Notamacropus eugenii: one gene and its partner. The protein of the gene in region 1 binds, or shares a complex with, the protein of each later gene. Links are inferred from orthologs where the notes say so. Each region holds a gene or a part of one and is shown in the gene's direction. Other genes may lie near its edges.

Region 1 (7,421 bases):
TCAACTTTTGTCATGTCCCATCTCTCCACTCCCCGAAATTAGAGGAACCCTAAAGAGTGTGCTACTTGCTGTAACTTCCGGGAAGGCTGCCTGCAAGACCAACCCACCGCCTCTTTCCTATACCTATTACCAGGGCAACTGTCAGTACCACCTTGACATTCAAGCCCAAAAGCATGTTCTTGCACCCACATCCAGAGCTTCTGGGCTCACACCTATAATCAGCTCTTCGCTGCTACTTCTAGAAGCAACCTTACAGACAGCTCCCTGATTCCTCCTGCTCTGTCCCTCTACAAAACTCTCCCTCCCCCTACCTTATTCTGTCTTTCCTCGCCCACCTCTTCCCAGGAGACAAATGCACAATCTGCTCTCTGCATATATCATCACCTTTGGAGGCAAAAATCTGCCCCATTGTTGAATCAAAACCAAAAAAAAGCTACCCATACATGAGAAAAACACCTCTTTTCCAGTGGGTTAGGAGAGAAAGGGAAGAAGTAGAGAAGAAAAGGAGAAAGGGTGGGGGAGGGAGGGAGAGAGAGAGAGAGAGAGAGAGAGAGCAATGCATCTCTCTCCTTTGGGCACACTCAGGTGAAAAAGAGGACCTGGAAAGTAATAGAGAAAATTTCTAATCTGACCATTAAGAGAAATGTAACTTTATTTTCCACGTATGAAAACAGATCTTGTATAACTTTGGGTAAGTGCTTCCTAGTTTCTGGAAGTTCTTCTATTCTTCTCATTTCTTCATTTTTAAGATAAAAGGGTTATGATGATGATGATAATAATAGCCAGAATTTGTACAGATTTTAAGGTTTACAGAGCACTTTATAGATATATATATGATATATATGTATTTTATTTGATCCTCACCACAATTCCATGAGGTCTGTGCTATTATTATCATCCCTCTTTTTACAGATGAGAAAACTGGTTGAGACAGAGGTTAAGTGACTTGCCCAGGGTCACACTGCTAGTAAGTATCCGAGTCAGGATTTGCACTCAGGTTTTCTTGACTCCAAGCCTACCACTGCCTCACCTAGCTGAAGATAATCTTCAGATTTTAATGTAAGATTTACAGAGACTGATGAAAGAAAACAATTTCTGTGCTGAAAATTTTACAGTTCAACATGTCTATAAGTGAATTGAGTTTATATTTAAGTAGTTTGTTGTTCCGTTTCAGTCATGTCTCACTCTTTGTGACCCCATTTGAGGTTTTCTTGGCAAAGATACTGGAGTACTTTGCCATTTCCTTCTCCAGCTCACTTTACAGATAAGGAAACTGAGTCAAATGAGGTTAAGTGATTTGCCCCAGGGTCACACAGCTATTAAGTGTCTGAGGCTGACTTTGTCTAAGGAAGATGAGTTTTCCTGACTTCAGGTCCAGCACTCTATCCTGCACCACACCTAGTTGCCCTAAAATTTGCAATTAATATCTTTTCAGCTAGCTAGAAGAAACCTTCAAGTTAAGCCAACTCTCTTATTTTACAGATGAAGAAACTAAGTTCTGAGAGAGGGCACATCATTTACCTGAGGTCACACAGGTAGAGAGAGAGTCGAAAGGCTGGGATTTTCTTCTAACTTCAAATTCAGTGTTCCTTCTACTGGCACAATTCTGGCTCCCTTGAGGGCATCTAATACAACTTGTCACCTAGGCCTGGAGTTCCTTCTCTCATCTCTATGATTGTGGTATGGTGCCTTTGACTGAGTACCCCCAGTGACCAGGAACTCACTACTTTAAGAGGTAATCAAATGCACTATTGGACTATTCTCTAGCTAAGGAACTTCCTCCTTGTGGGAGATTAATGCAAAATGGGACTCTACTTCTTCAAGAAATTTTCTTTGCCAGGACCTCTCTTTTACCATTCACTTTATACTATACTCTTTTTCTCCATAGATCTACTTTCTACTATTGCCATATATGCACATGTTGTAACTCCCTTAATAGATTTATAAGCTCTTCAAGGTGGAGATGATGTCATATCTACCTTTTTATTCCCAACACTTAGCAACGTTTTTGCACATTGAATGGATATGTGTACATCCCTCTGTCTATAAAGATTGCAGCTGCGTGTCAGCTGAACTACGCATGACTACTGCAATGCATCCATGTGTGGTTTGTAGTCAGTATATTCATTTTCATACTGTATACAGCGATATGCCTGTTATTAAGATTTTTAAAACCTCAAAATGCTTTAGAAAGAACTGTCATTAGTTATTAGCACAGGGGAGAGCTGTATCTCCTTAAAGCAAAACCTCTATTGTCTTTTCACAAACAGATCATGCTTCAAGGTCATCCTTCTTGGTAGAGATCAAGTTATTTAGAGTTAAACAATATTCAGGGACACCATAGTGCCTGTTCATGTTTTGTTTTCCTATTTACCCATGCAGTTTGTTATGCTACTATTTTTGCCTTATACCTCTAAACTGCTGACATCTCTCCCTGTTTCCAAAAATTCTGATGCTCATCTTAGCCCTAATGAAAAAAGTTTTTTGATAGCATCCTAGTTCTTATAAACAACAGATTCTCATATCCGGAGCAGAGATAAGAAATATGATTATTCTGACATCTGCCACCCAATCTAGCTAATCACAACCTAGAATCCCTGGGAACTGAAAAATGAAACATTACCAACACACATCAGAGGAAGGACCTTTTCTGTATTCACAGGAAAAAGCTGGTGAGCCAATCTGGCACACTGCAACTCCCAGGAGCCATCTGGGAGTTACCACTCTTCATGAGCTAATCTCAAACCACTGGTCTCTGCAATGCCCAAATGACTGATGGAGGGCCAGCTGAAGGCTCAGAGGAACACAATATCATCCCATTTCTAGCTCTCCCAAAATCTTTTGGAGTTGCAAATAATATCCTTCAATGAACCTCATTAGGATATGTACATTCTGGGAGTGGCCTGTTATTTACCTCTCCAGGAATGGCAATTTATTATGAAACTAAAAGGAGAAAATAATTCCAAAGGGAAACTGATCAGATTTTCTTGTTTCTATAACAGAGAGACTCCCAAATAACACAGACCTTCTAATCCTGTACTGTTCTTGTCTAGGTCCTTCTAGAAGACCTTCGTAAAGAATCCAACCAATATGATGAAAGCCTTCCTTTGGTACTTTTTACAGTTTCATAGGTATTGGCATAGCACTTAGGTTGTTCATCCATCATTCTTCATTCTTGTTCCATTATTGGCTTATCCCCCTTTCTCACTATATAGGTCCTTGACAATTTTTCATTATTTCTTGATAATAACATATAATAATGATAACTAATACTTCTATAGCATTCTCAGATTTCCAAAGTGCTTTATGTTTGTTCTCTCTTTTGATCCTCACAACAACCCAGTGAAATAGGGTTATTATCCCCATATTGCCAAGGAGGAAACCAGGGCTGACAGAGGTATAAATCATTCATGATTAATATATTGCAACCTGCTTTCATCTACCATGCACCTTTCTGCTGTCCTTTGGGGTCACTTACATTAGTAATGCTTTTGACATTGTGTTCAGCCCTGCATCGTCCCAGACAGAACCTTGGTGTTAAAAAGATGAACTTTTGTGGCAGGGAGTTGTTTGGAATCATTGGAAGTTTTTTGAAATTTCCAGAAGGTCATACAGCCTCTATCCTCTTATGTGATCCTGGACCCAGGTCAATGTCCAAGATGTACGTTGTGGTTGTTGGGTCATTTTAGTTTGTGGCCCCATTTGGGGTGTTCTTGGCAAAGATACTAGAGTGGTTTGCCATTTCCTTCTCCAGTTCATTTTACAGATGAAGAAACTGGGGCAAACACAGGTTAAGTGATTTGCTCAGGATCACAACCCTAGTAAGTGTTTGAGACCAGATTCGAACTCAGGAAGAAGTCCTCCCTACTCCAGGCTCAGCATTCTATCTTCCCAGCTTGCACAGGGAAGGAACAATCTTCATCCACTTGGTTTTTCCAACGTAGATTGTCAGGTTAAACTCTTTTGAGGGCGTCCAGGTCTTTCAGAAGGTTCGGCCACTCCAAGGGTCCAATGCCATTAATCTATGTCACCTGCAAACACAAGGGACCTCTTCTTTCCAGGTTATCCTCCAATCTGGGGGGGAACACTTTTGGAGGAGCCCCGCCCCCCACCAAGTTCTCCTCCTCACAGTCCAAAACCTTCTCCTTCTCCTCCTCAGGTCCTTTCCCTTAATTTCTGAAAAGGAATGGACAATTCGCTTCTTAAGGAGAAAAGGGGGACTAGAGCAGAGAAAGAGCCCACTGCCAGTCCACCTAACCCAAAGGGGAGCAATAGGTGGGGAGAGGGAGGGGGAGTGGAAGGAGGAGTGGGAGGAATGGGCGGAGCCTCGGAGGAGGGAGGGAGTGGTACCTGTGACGTTGTCCCGGCGGTTGCGTGAGGACGCCACGCGACGTCACGGGAGGGGGCGGGGTTCTGGACGGACTAGGCGCCTGAGCTGCGCGGCTCTGGCTGTTTCTCTCCGCCCCCTGAGCCCTGCACACGCCCGCCCTCTTTCCTCTCTTCCTTCCCTCTTTCCCTCCTTCCCTCCCTCCCTTCGTCCCTCCCCCTTTCCTCCCCACAGCCCCTCCCCCTTTCTCCCTCCTCCCTCCCCCTCTCCCATTCAAGGGGAGGGGGGAGTCTGGGGCGGGGGAAAAAGGGAAAAAAAAAAGTAGGGGCTGGTGTCCCGGCCGGCGGGCTGGGCCCGAGAGTCCCCGGGGCTGGTCCGAGCCGGGCGGCGGCGGCGCAGGACGAGGAGGCGGCGGCCCGCCTTCCATGCCTCCGCTGCCGCTCTCCGCCGAGATGGATTTCAGTCAGAACAGCCTGTTCGGCTACATCGAGGACCTGCAGGAGCTCACCATCATCGAGAGGCCGGTGCGGCGGAGCCTCAAGGTACGGACGCCGGAGGGAGCCGGCCCCCGCCCCTGACCCCGTCCCGTGCCGTGCCGTCCGGGGGCTCCCCTCCTCCCCGGGGGTCCCGGAGACCAGGAGGCGGGGGAGGCGAGGGAGGCGAGCGAGGGGAAGGCACCCGACCCCGTCCCGCGCCGTCCGGGGGCTCCCCGGGGGTCCCTCCACCGCCTCCGCGTCTTCGCGGGGCTTCCCCGCAGAAGAGTCCGGGGTCTTATCCCACCTCCCCGCCGCCTCCCCTACATCTTCATGGGTTCCAGGAGATCAAGACGTGAGGGTGGGGAGAGCACCAGCCCCCCTCCCCATGCCACCCCATCCTATCCCATCGAGTCTTTGAGAGGCTCCCCCAGAGAAGTCTGGGGTGCCATCTTACTTCTCCGCCCCCCACCTCCCTTCATCTTCAGGGGTTCCAGTGAGGGGGGCAGAAAGCTCCTGCCCGGCTCCGTCCCATCCCCATCGGTGTTGGCACCCCTGCGTCTTCCCCTGACTCACGCAGAGAGCAGCAGGGATGGGGTCGGGATGATCACACTTCCCCAACCGTCCTCGGGGGCTCCAGCCGAAGGAGGGGTGTCGGTGCCCATCCCATCTGGGGTCCCACCTCTCCATCTCCAGGGGCACTGTCTGCTTCCCTGCCCTCCCCTCCCCCCTTCCCACAGTCATCCTCTGGGGCCGCAGGAGACTGGGGAAAAGAGAAGCCTTCCCATCCTCACTGCCCCGGGTTAGTCAGGGGCTCCTGAAGACCATCCCCCCGCCAGCTCCCCAGTAAGCCAAGGATTTAAGAAAACCAAACTTGGGGATGAAGAGAACTTGTCCTGCTTTCTCCCAGCTCATGCCCAGAGCACCTTTCCACGCCTCCTCTTCCCCCTCTCTGCCCCAGCAGTCAAGGGAAGGTGGGCACCTAGAAGGCATCTCCATCACCTCTCCTCCCATCCTACCTCCGCAGCCCCTCTCCTCACCCGCATTTCCCTGTAATTGCCCTATTATCAGTGGGGGTGGAAAAGTGAACTGCAGGTGGAGAGGGGAAGGTTAGAAAGAACTCGTTCCAGGTCCCGTCTCATGTCCCCAGCCCTCTCCGAACCCTCTTTGCCTTCTTTCCCCAGTGGTCGCTGGCCCCTCCAGGCGGGGAGGAAAGCCTGGATGCTTTGTGCAGGCTCTCCTCTTCCTTCTCCTCTAGCCCTTTTTCATTCTCTGGCCCCTGTTTGGTCTTCTTCCCACCTTTTCTTTGGGGGTCTCTAAGCAAAGGGAGCCTTTCCCGAGGGACCTATCCCCTTGCCTTCTTCCAGAGCCTCAGCAGCTGTGGGAGAAGGAGGGGAGTGGGCAGAATGAGTGGGGAGAAAACACTTGTCTCCGATTGCTACTGGCACTCCTTACACACCGGGAGCCCTTTCCTTTACTCCTCTCTTCCACCTCCCACATCCAGAAAGAGGAGACCTCGCAGAGAAGGTGAAGGAACACTCATACTTGAGAATGACTTCCCTTTTCAAGCCGTCATTCCTGTTTAATAAATAGTGGGGGAAAAAAGATTCTTCCTCCCTCCTTCCCTCAGTATTTGAAATTTGAAGTTCCTCTCTTCAATCCAAGCCCCTTGATAGGATCTCACTGATCTTTGTGGGAAGATAAAATTCCTTCTTAGTTTTTAGCATTTGGAGTGGTGGGGGAATGGGTTCCAGAGTTGACCCTGAGAAATTTTCTACATAATTTGTATTTCACATTTGACAGACACCAGAAGAAATAGAAAGGCTAACAGTTGATGAAGAACTCAATGATATTGAAAGGGCTGTTTATCTACTCAGGTATTTCCAAGTCTTACTGTCAAATTGCTGATCTTTTCCTCTGACAGCAGAAACCAATGTTTATCGAATTTGTTTGAGTAGCGCAGATTTACCAAATCAGTTGGCATACTGCTTTTTGAATACATTTTGTGCCTCGGTACATAAAAATTTCATCTAGGTATGTTTTCATGTATTTAATAATTTGTAAATAATGAAATCTATAAACAGTTTGTTAGAGTGAGATCCAGACATAGCTTCAAAGATCCACTATATAAACTGAGTTTAATTTCACTCTTTTCTTGTCTCCTGCATTTGCTTTTACAAGTCAGTGAGTTGCCATGGGAAAAAAGAGCATCTAGCAGCTGATATTATAATATTTATTGTAGCATGCCAATGATAAAAGCGTTTTCACTTTGATGACAGAATAAAGGAAATTATGTTACTGTTTAAATTCAGTATTTTATCACTTGAGATCCATGAGCTTGTGATAATCTTAATTGGAAATGTTGGTTGCTCCATAAACCTACTTTTTGACATTGAATCAAATCTTGAAATCTTGATATGTCTAGTATTTTATCTCACAGAGTTTCCTTACTGCATTTTTTCTTTAATTGTTTTGAGTGGTGGCAAGTTTCTTAGTTTTTCTTAAACTGTTTAAAGTTTATTTTTCTTTTAACAATATTAACATAGTGATGCTTAGAAAAAGTAACATTCATTTTGGAGTCAGAAGAACTGGGTTCAAATACAGCCTCTGATGCTTGTGTG
Region 2 (7,321 bases), about 280 kb from region 1:
AACCGAAAGTGGCTACTAGGCAAAGGGGGGTGGCTACTAGGCAAAGGGGGGCAGCTACTAGGCAAAGGAGGGTGGCTGCTAGGCAAGGGGGCACAACAGAAAGTGGCTACTAGGCAAAGGGGGGCAGCTGTTAGGCAAGGGAGGCCCAACCCTGCCTAGAAACTCAACAGACATTTCTCAACCCAGGGGCTCTGGGAGGGGGGGAGGAAATAACATCCACTTCACAAACAAAATGGAATCAACTAGAAAGAGAGGGTAACAAAATAATGAGAGTGTCAAGATGGTCCTTGCTCCTTAACCAATTCTTGATGGAACTGGAAAAAATAGTTTTGATGAATATTCTTTGATATTATTCAAAAGAGTCTGTTTATCATAATATAATAAAAGTTCCCATTATTATATAATCAGAAAGTCTAACATTTTAACAAAACATGGAAGTGCCATTTTCTGTGATTCTCACATTGCCCAGCAATCTCTGACTCCTTGGAAGTCAATAAAAATTCTAAACTTCTAAACAATAACATTAAAATACCATAATTTTAAATATTGGATATGAAGGGAACCAAGAAAGGTGGTGTGGCATTAATGAAAGTATAATGGATTCAGGAGCACAAGATATAGGTTTGAAATGTGCCTCTTGTTCTTATGAATGTAACACCCACTCTCTCCTAGGAAAGGTGGATGGTTTTCCTGAGCCCTGTGACATGTGTTGGTTCCGTTAGGAGACATGACTCCTGATTGGCTTAGAGAACAATGAGCCATGATACCATGAAAGGAGAAGGGATCTGCTTCAGTGTGCGGGACACACTTCCATGAGAGGACCTCAAGACCTGTTTAGGGAAGCAAGGCATGAACTTTTGAATGGCTAATGGGAGCCCCCAGAGCTGCAGACATGTGGGGAAGCTGGTCCCCATTACATCCCTTGATTTCCATGCTTGCAATGCTAGAGAGTGGACATCCCTTGGTAAGGATATTCCCACTCTCCTGGTTTGAGTTGAGATCTTCTCTCACTCCCAGATGAAGGGATCATTTACTTTTATGTATTCTTGTAGTATATTCCAATCTGCTTAATTTCTGTGATTTCTGTTTCCTACTTTCTTTGATAAAGAGGTTCACTATCTTTTCATGATGATCTTCTCAGTTATCAGCGTTTGGTGGGAAGGAGTCAGTTGGCAGGTGTAAGCGAAAGGCTATCCTTCCCCTCTGAGACTGACCAACAAAAGAGCTTTCAATCTGACTAGATCCCTTTGAATTATATCCCTAGATTAGAAATATCTGAGGAGTAGCAGATTGATATTCTAGTCCAATAACCCCCTTGCTAGAGGAGAGATCATCCAGTTTCAGCTATCTTGGATCCTCCTGCCTAGCTCTCCCCACCAACTAGGAAATTAGCAGTGCACAGTCCTCCACCTATTCTGTGTAAAGGTGGGTCAGACCTCAGATCATATCTATCCATACTACCTGTGAGTCTGTATGTTTAAATAGCCTTGTCTACACATACATATGTCTTATAGTAGTACTGTAGTACAATTCTTTTTCAGGTGTAGATGTAAGATGCAGAATGCTTGAGGTATATTGGTATATCCACACCGATCCCCACCCCTCCCACTAATGGATTATTTTATTATGGCAAACGGTGCAATAATGAGCCTCAGATACTTGGTAGCAGTATGACCCTGTCATTTAAATTCTGTCTGCCTCAGTTTCCTCCTCTATAAAACAGGGGTAATTAATAGTACTCACCCCCCAGGGTTGTTCTGAGGGTATAATGAGATCTTTGCAATGCCCTTTGCAAACCTTAAAGCAATATACTAAGTCTCTTTTTTTTTTTCCTCCAAATTCAGAGGCAGGCTAGGCGGCATACTCTGGAATATCCTCAGAAATAACTCAAAATTGGAGAAACTCTTTAATTAACTAGGCTCCTACCCCAGAATAAAACCAAGGAAATCTCTTCTCCCATAGACTAGCTTCCCCCTCTCAATCCCAAATCATGAACTCATACAATCTTAGACAAATCACTGTTTAATGTCATTTATTAGCAGTCTTAATTAAATCAGAAATGAGACATTTAAACAAAATATAGAAAACTACAGTGGAACTCAAAAGGTTACTAGTTTTCTCCCTCCTCCACCCTATTTCCAGCTAGTCTAAGGGGGACAGGTCTCTAAGGAAAGAGTTAAGATTTAAACGTAGGGTGAACTTTTCCCAGCTTCGACTCAGGTTTAAAAAAAAGGGGGGGGGGGGAAAGGAAGAAAGGATCTGTGCACTGGACTTCACTCTCAGCCACGACTGCCAGTGTGGACTGATCTTAGCTCCAGTTCCCTCCTGCCCTAATCCTACCTTGGTGGCTCTTGCTGCCTGCTGTATATACACTTACCACTCTTTCCTCTCTACCCTCCCTGTTTACTGCCCCAAAACTTGGGAAGAAGTTCCTTTTTCAAGGTCCCCTGAACCCCCAAACAAGCAGCTTTCCCCAATGCCTGTGAATAGTCCATCCCAAGAACTCTTCATCACCATAGGGAGGTGGCAAAGAATTATCTAGCGGTCCTGGGTCTCAGGGCCACGTTTCCTCATTCTTTTTTAAACATTGTTTCCAGTTTTGTACAGTCACTTCTGCATATCTTAGATCCCCCCTCCCTCCCTGAGACGGTGGTGTGCCATCTTCTATAGGGTCTACCCCTACACTCCTATTAAACGGTTTCCTCGTTCTTTAACCTGTAAGCACGTGTTAAGTGAAATAAAGCCCAGGTCGGGAGCCCGGACCTAGCTAGGACCTAGTCCCAGCTTTGCCAGGGGCCCGGGACCCGTTTGGGCCGGTCCTTTCACCTCCTGGTGAGGCAGAGGTAAAGTCCGGGGCCCCCTTGTCCCGACCCCCCTCGGTCTGCGTCCTTTCCAGCCCCCTCTCGGGGCAGGCCCACGAGCAGGTATCGGACACGTTCGGATCCGGCGAGGGCGCCGGAGGGCAGAAGAAATCCCCACCACGGATTCCTGTGCTCTCCATCGCCAGGACAGAAACCAGAGTTCTGCTTTTACCGCTTGCTTCAGTTATTAAGAAAGGGGGCAGGCAGACAGACAGACAGACAGAGACAGGGAGACAAGAGACCAGATTTCCTTTCCCGAACCACCTGAGGATCAGGAGCACCAAGCGCGGAAGAGAAAACAGCAGCTGCTTAAAAAAAAAAAAAAAAAAAAAAAAAAAAAGCCGTGGCCGGCCAAGGCGGGGCTGGGGGGAGGAGTCGGGATTTCATTGGCAGAAAGCGGGGAGGGGGGTGGTCCGTGTTCAGGCTCCAGGACCGCCCCCAGCCTCAGCCCGCGAGCGCACGTGGGTGGAGCTCCAGGCGGAGCCGCTGCCCGGACCCGGCTCGGGCGGGCTCTCCGCAGTTTGAAATTCATCTGCCAGGCTGATGACGTAGGCAGGGAGCGACGGGAGGCGGCTCGGCGCAGCCGGGCCCGAGGTTCAGCGCACCCGCGTGCGCGAGGAATCTCTAGGAAGTCCGGGCCCGTCACTAGGGCGACGGGGCTCCTTGGGCAGAGAGCTCCCCAGAGCAGTCGCGCTCGCTTCCGGTCTAGCCTCGGAAACACCAGTCCCGCCCTTTCCTCTCCCCTCCTTTTCCCTTCTCTCCCTCCCTCCCTCCCTCCTTCTGAATCTTCTCTACCCGGCCGGCGCCACTAACTGCGGTGCCTGTACCTTTAAATGGCGTGGCCTCGGCGCGGCCCCTGCAGCTGTGGGGTAGAAGACCCCGCGCGCCTCTATTGAGGGATGAACCAAGATGGCGGCTGCTTTGGTTCCGTGAGGGAGGAGGAAGAAGCGGCGGCGGCGGCCGAGAGGGGACCTGGCGTTGGGAAGGGCGCCCCAGGTACGACCGGGGGGGCCCTCGCCGTCTCTGGAGAAGCGGCGGGCGCAGGGGCACAGGCCGGGGGCGGACACGCTCGAGACCCGGAGAGCGCAGGGGAGCAGCGGAGCCGCCGGGGGCGGCCGCGGCGACGGGGCCCGGGTATGAGGAAGGAGAACATGGCGGCGGCCTGAGGCGGCGGCGGCTGGAAGCGGCTTGGCGAAGGAAGGGCATGGCGGAGGCGGGAGCAGGGCAGTGACCCGCGCCCGACGCCCGGTGGAGGCCATCGCTCCTCCGACCCCGTGGTGGGCAGCTGGGCCTGGACAATAGATCCGCGCAGGAGCAGCGGGGCAACGCTCGCGGGGGGCACGGCCGATCCAGACCCCGGCCCCCCTGGTGTCTCCCGCCCCCAACCCCGGCCTCCCGGGCCGTGACATGAGGGAGGAGGCCGCCGCGCGTGGGAGTGAAGGCCCCCTGCCGGGAGGCCGCGGTGCGCGGTGCTGAGCGGAGAGGGCCCCGTCGGTCCGGGCCTCCCGCCTCCCCTCCCCCTCCTGGGGCCCGCGGGGCGTCTCCCCCACCCTCACCCCTCACCCCCTCCCCGGGCGGTGGCTGCGGGGGGGGGCGGCAGGATGACCGACACCCGGAGACGGGTGAAGGTCTACACGCTCAACGAGGACCGGCAGTGGGACGACCGGGGCACCGGGCATGTGACCTCGGGCTACGTGGAGAGGCTGAAGGGCATGTCCCTGCTTGTCAGGGCGGAGAGCGACGGTGAGTGAGAGACCCCCCTCCGGCGTCCTCCCCTCGGAGGCAAGTTCAAGTCAACGGGGCGGGGGGTGCTGGAGCTTCTAGGGGGGACGGCCCGCCCTGGGCGCCGCGGGACCCCCGAGACTGCCCCGGGGAGAACGGGGCGGGTGGGGAGGGGGCTCCGTCAGGGAACCCCGCGAGTTAAGAATGAGGGGTCGCCCCCGAGTCGTTTCCATCCACACCCCCTCCCCCCAGTTCGAGCAACGTTTCCTTTCCCTCCCTCCCGAGGACCGGTGTGTTTGTGCTTTCCTACGTGTGAGAGGGGACCTGCGGCCGTGCTCCTGAGGCGCACAGGTGTGTGTGCGTGTGTGCGTGCGTGTGTGTGCGCGCCACTTGTGGCTGGGCTGCGGTCTGGGGCACTGAAGGCCGCTTCTCCTTCTCATAAATCAGGCGGTAGGCAGTTATGACTTGCTCCCGCTGTGTGCTGGACGCTACCGCCGAGGGCTGGACGTGCAGACCTTTCTGTGTTATGATGTTTGCAGGCACCGTGTTAAGCGCTGGAAACAGGAAGCAAAAGTTAGTGTTCCCAGATGCCGAGTTAGGCGTCAGGGAGTACTCTGCCCTCCAGGAGCTTGCTGTCTGAGGGGGGTTTTCATTCGAGTGACCTTGAGGGAGTCTTTTCATCACTTTTGTGATTGCTAGTTTGCCCATCAGCAAAACGGATATGTCGTTTTTACAAGGCGCTAAGAGATTCATGAGCTATTTCTTACTCTTTGGAGAACTCCCATAAGTGGATTTTGGAAATAGTACACACTTGAGCTCCAGTTTCATATCAACAAGAGTGGATAGGCTAACTTTGCATTTAATAAAAAAAATAATACTTTGATTTCAGAGACATGTGCTATTTTACTTTTCAGAGTAGTTTGTTGGTAATATTGTTCTTTGTCCAGAGAACTTCCTATAAGAGCTGATTAAATTGTTTTGTACTGGCCCTTTTTCTTGTTTAAACTATGGAAAACATGGCAAGATGGCTGACCTTGAAGTCTGGAGCTCCTGGGTTCAAGACCCATCTCTAACATGCTTAGTGACCCTGAGTAAAGTGCTTCATTGCTACTTACTCAATTTGAATAGTTCCACAGCCAGATTTTTTTCCAAATCATTTTTTGATGACTACTCTCCTCTGTGCTGTCCCTAAATTTCAGTGAGCTAAAGGGGGCAATCTGTGGTCATTGAAGATTAAGCTTCAAAATACATCTTCACACAAGTTTATAGTGAAGTATTTTTGAAACTAGAAAGTTCACTTTCCACTCAGTTTAAATGCAGTCAGGTCCCTCAAATGCCTTTTAAAAAATAATCACCAAAGAAGAAAAATGGCAAGGAAAAAACCACACATAAGTAAAAATTAACATATTTGAAGAAATTGAGAAAATTAACATGATGTAATAAAATTGTAAGACCAGAAAAAGAGGTTCAAGAAAGTAAAAGTCACATAGGTACTCATTTTAGAATTTAAAAAGCCTTCCCCTCCAAAAAAAAAATTTTTGGGAAGAAACTGAAGAAAAAAGGTAATGGAGCACATGATAGAAAAACCTCAAAAAACCAATACACTATGGAAAAGCTGATTTATGTGCAATACTTAACAATTGGATATACTGGCTTCAAAAAAAAAAATGTTTAAATTCTCAGAATCAAATGACAAACTCAAGGGATGCTTCACAAGCTGACAATTTGGGCATTACTGAAATCACAGAAAATTGAGAAAAAGAATATGAACACTTTCAAGAAATCTTCATAGAAAATTTCTCAGAAAAAGCAAATTCATACAGCAAAATAGAATCCATCGAACAATAAGGAAGGCTCCAAGATTTTTAAGCTTCAAAACTACAATGATATGAAAAAAATATTTCGAGATGCAAGGAGAAATATAGGAAATATCAGAATCATAGTAGAAATCATGGAGGATAAGGGATAGTTAGAGGAACTGGAATATAAGAATGTACGCAAAAAAAAACTAGAATTATTTGCCCAGTGAAACTTAGTACACTGTTTAAGGTATGAATTATCAGCATTTGAGAAGTATTCAGGCTTTTTTCAGTTTACAGTGAAACCTGTGGCTTTAAAGGAAATCTTAAAACAGTCAAATCTCAGCCAAAAAGGACAGATATTTAAAACACTCCTCAAATCAACACTGTTATGTTGAACCCTCAGTATCGTTTTGGATAATTACTGTTTCAGTAATGTGCTTCTGACAAAGGTATGCCCTTATTAATAAGACTAAAGAAGTTGGTTTAAAGTGTTTTTTTTTAATTTAATGTCAAATAATAAGAAAATGTATGTTCCCTTTCTATAGAATGGTTGAAGAAAAGGCAAACCTAACAATTTTATAATGCTAATAAATAAGAATGGATTAAGCTCTCCAATAAAATGAAGAAGTCACAGAATGGATTAAAAAACAGAATTCAACACTGTGTTTGTTCATTGGAAACAGTTAATCCAGAAAATCTGGAATCTGTAAGGAACTGACACATGTTTCTGTAAGACTTAATCACATTCCTCAGTGATCTAGGGATGTGACAGCAATTTTCGAAGATGAAAATACAAACTGGTTAACTACACAAAAAAATTCTTAAATTCCAATAACCAGAGAGATGCCTGTCTAGATGGCCTTGGAACACTACTTTGCATCCACTATAATAGAAAAGAATATTTGATTTGTTGGATGGGCTGTGGGGAAATGGCCG

The links. Proteins that work in one complex are often made in the same cells at the same time.
Region 2: PPP4R4 (region 1) and PPP4R3A share a complex: the UniProt entries of both Homo sapiens proteins name them as parts of the PP4 complex. The link is inferred for Notamacropus eugenii from reciprocal best matches to the Homo sapiens genes PPP4R4 and PPP4R3A.

Annotation. Positions count from the first base shown.
Region 1 is NC_092878.1:35,497,768-35,505,188, reverse strand, and holds the start of PPP4R4 (serine/threonine-protein phosphatase 4 regulatory subunit 4), read left to right. Parts: upstream 1-4,404; 5' UTR 4,405-4,752; coding exon 4,753-4,869; intron 4,870-6,603; coding exon 6,604-6,677; intron 6,678-7,421. UniProt on the Homo sapiens protein: Putative regulatory subunit of serine/threonine-protein phosphatase 4.
Region 2 is NC_092878.1:35,222,657-35,229,977, reverse strand, and holds the start of PPP4R3A (serine/threonine-protein phosphatase 4 regulatory subunit 3A), read left to right. Parts: upstream 1-4,313; 5' UTR 4,314-4,462; coding exon 4,463-4,604; intron 4,605-7,321. UniProt on the Homo sapiens protein: Regulatory subunit of serine/threonine-protein phosphatase 4. May regulate the activity of PPP4C at centrosomal microtubule organizing centers.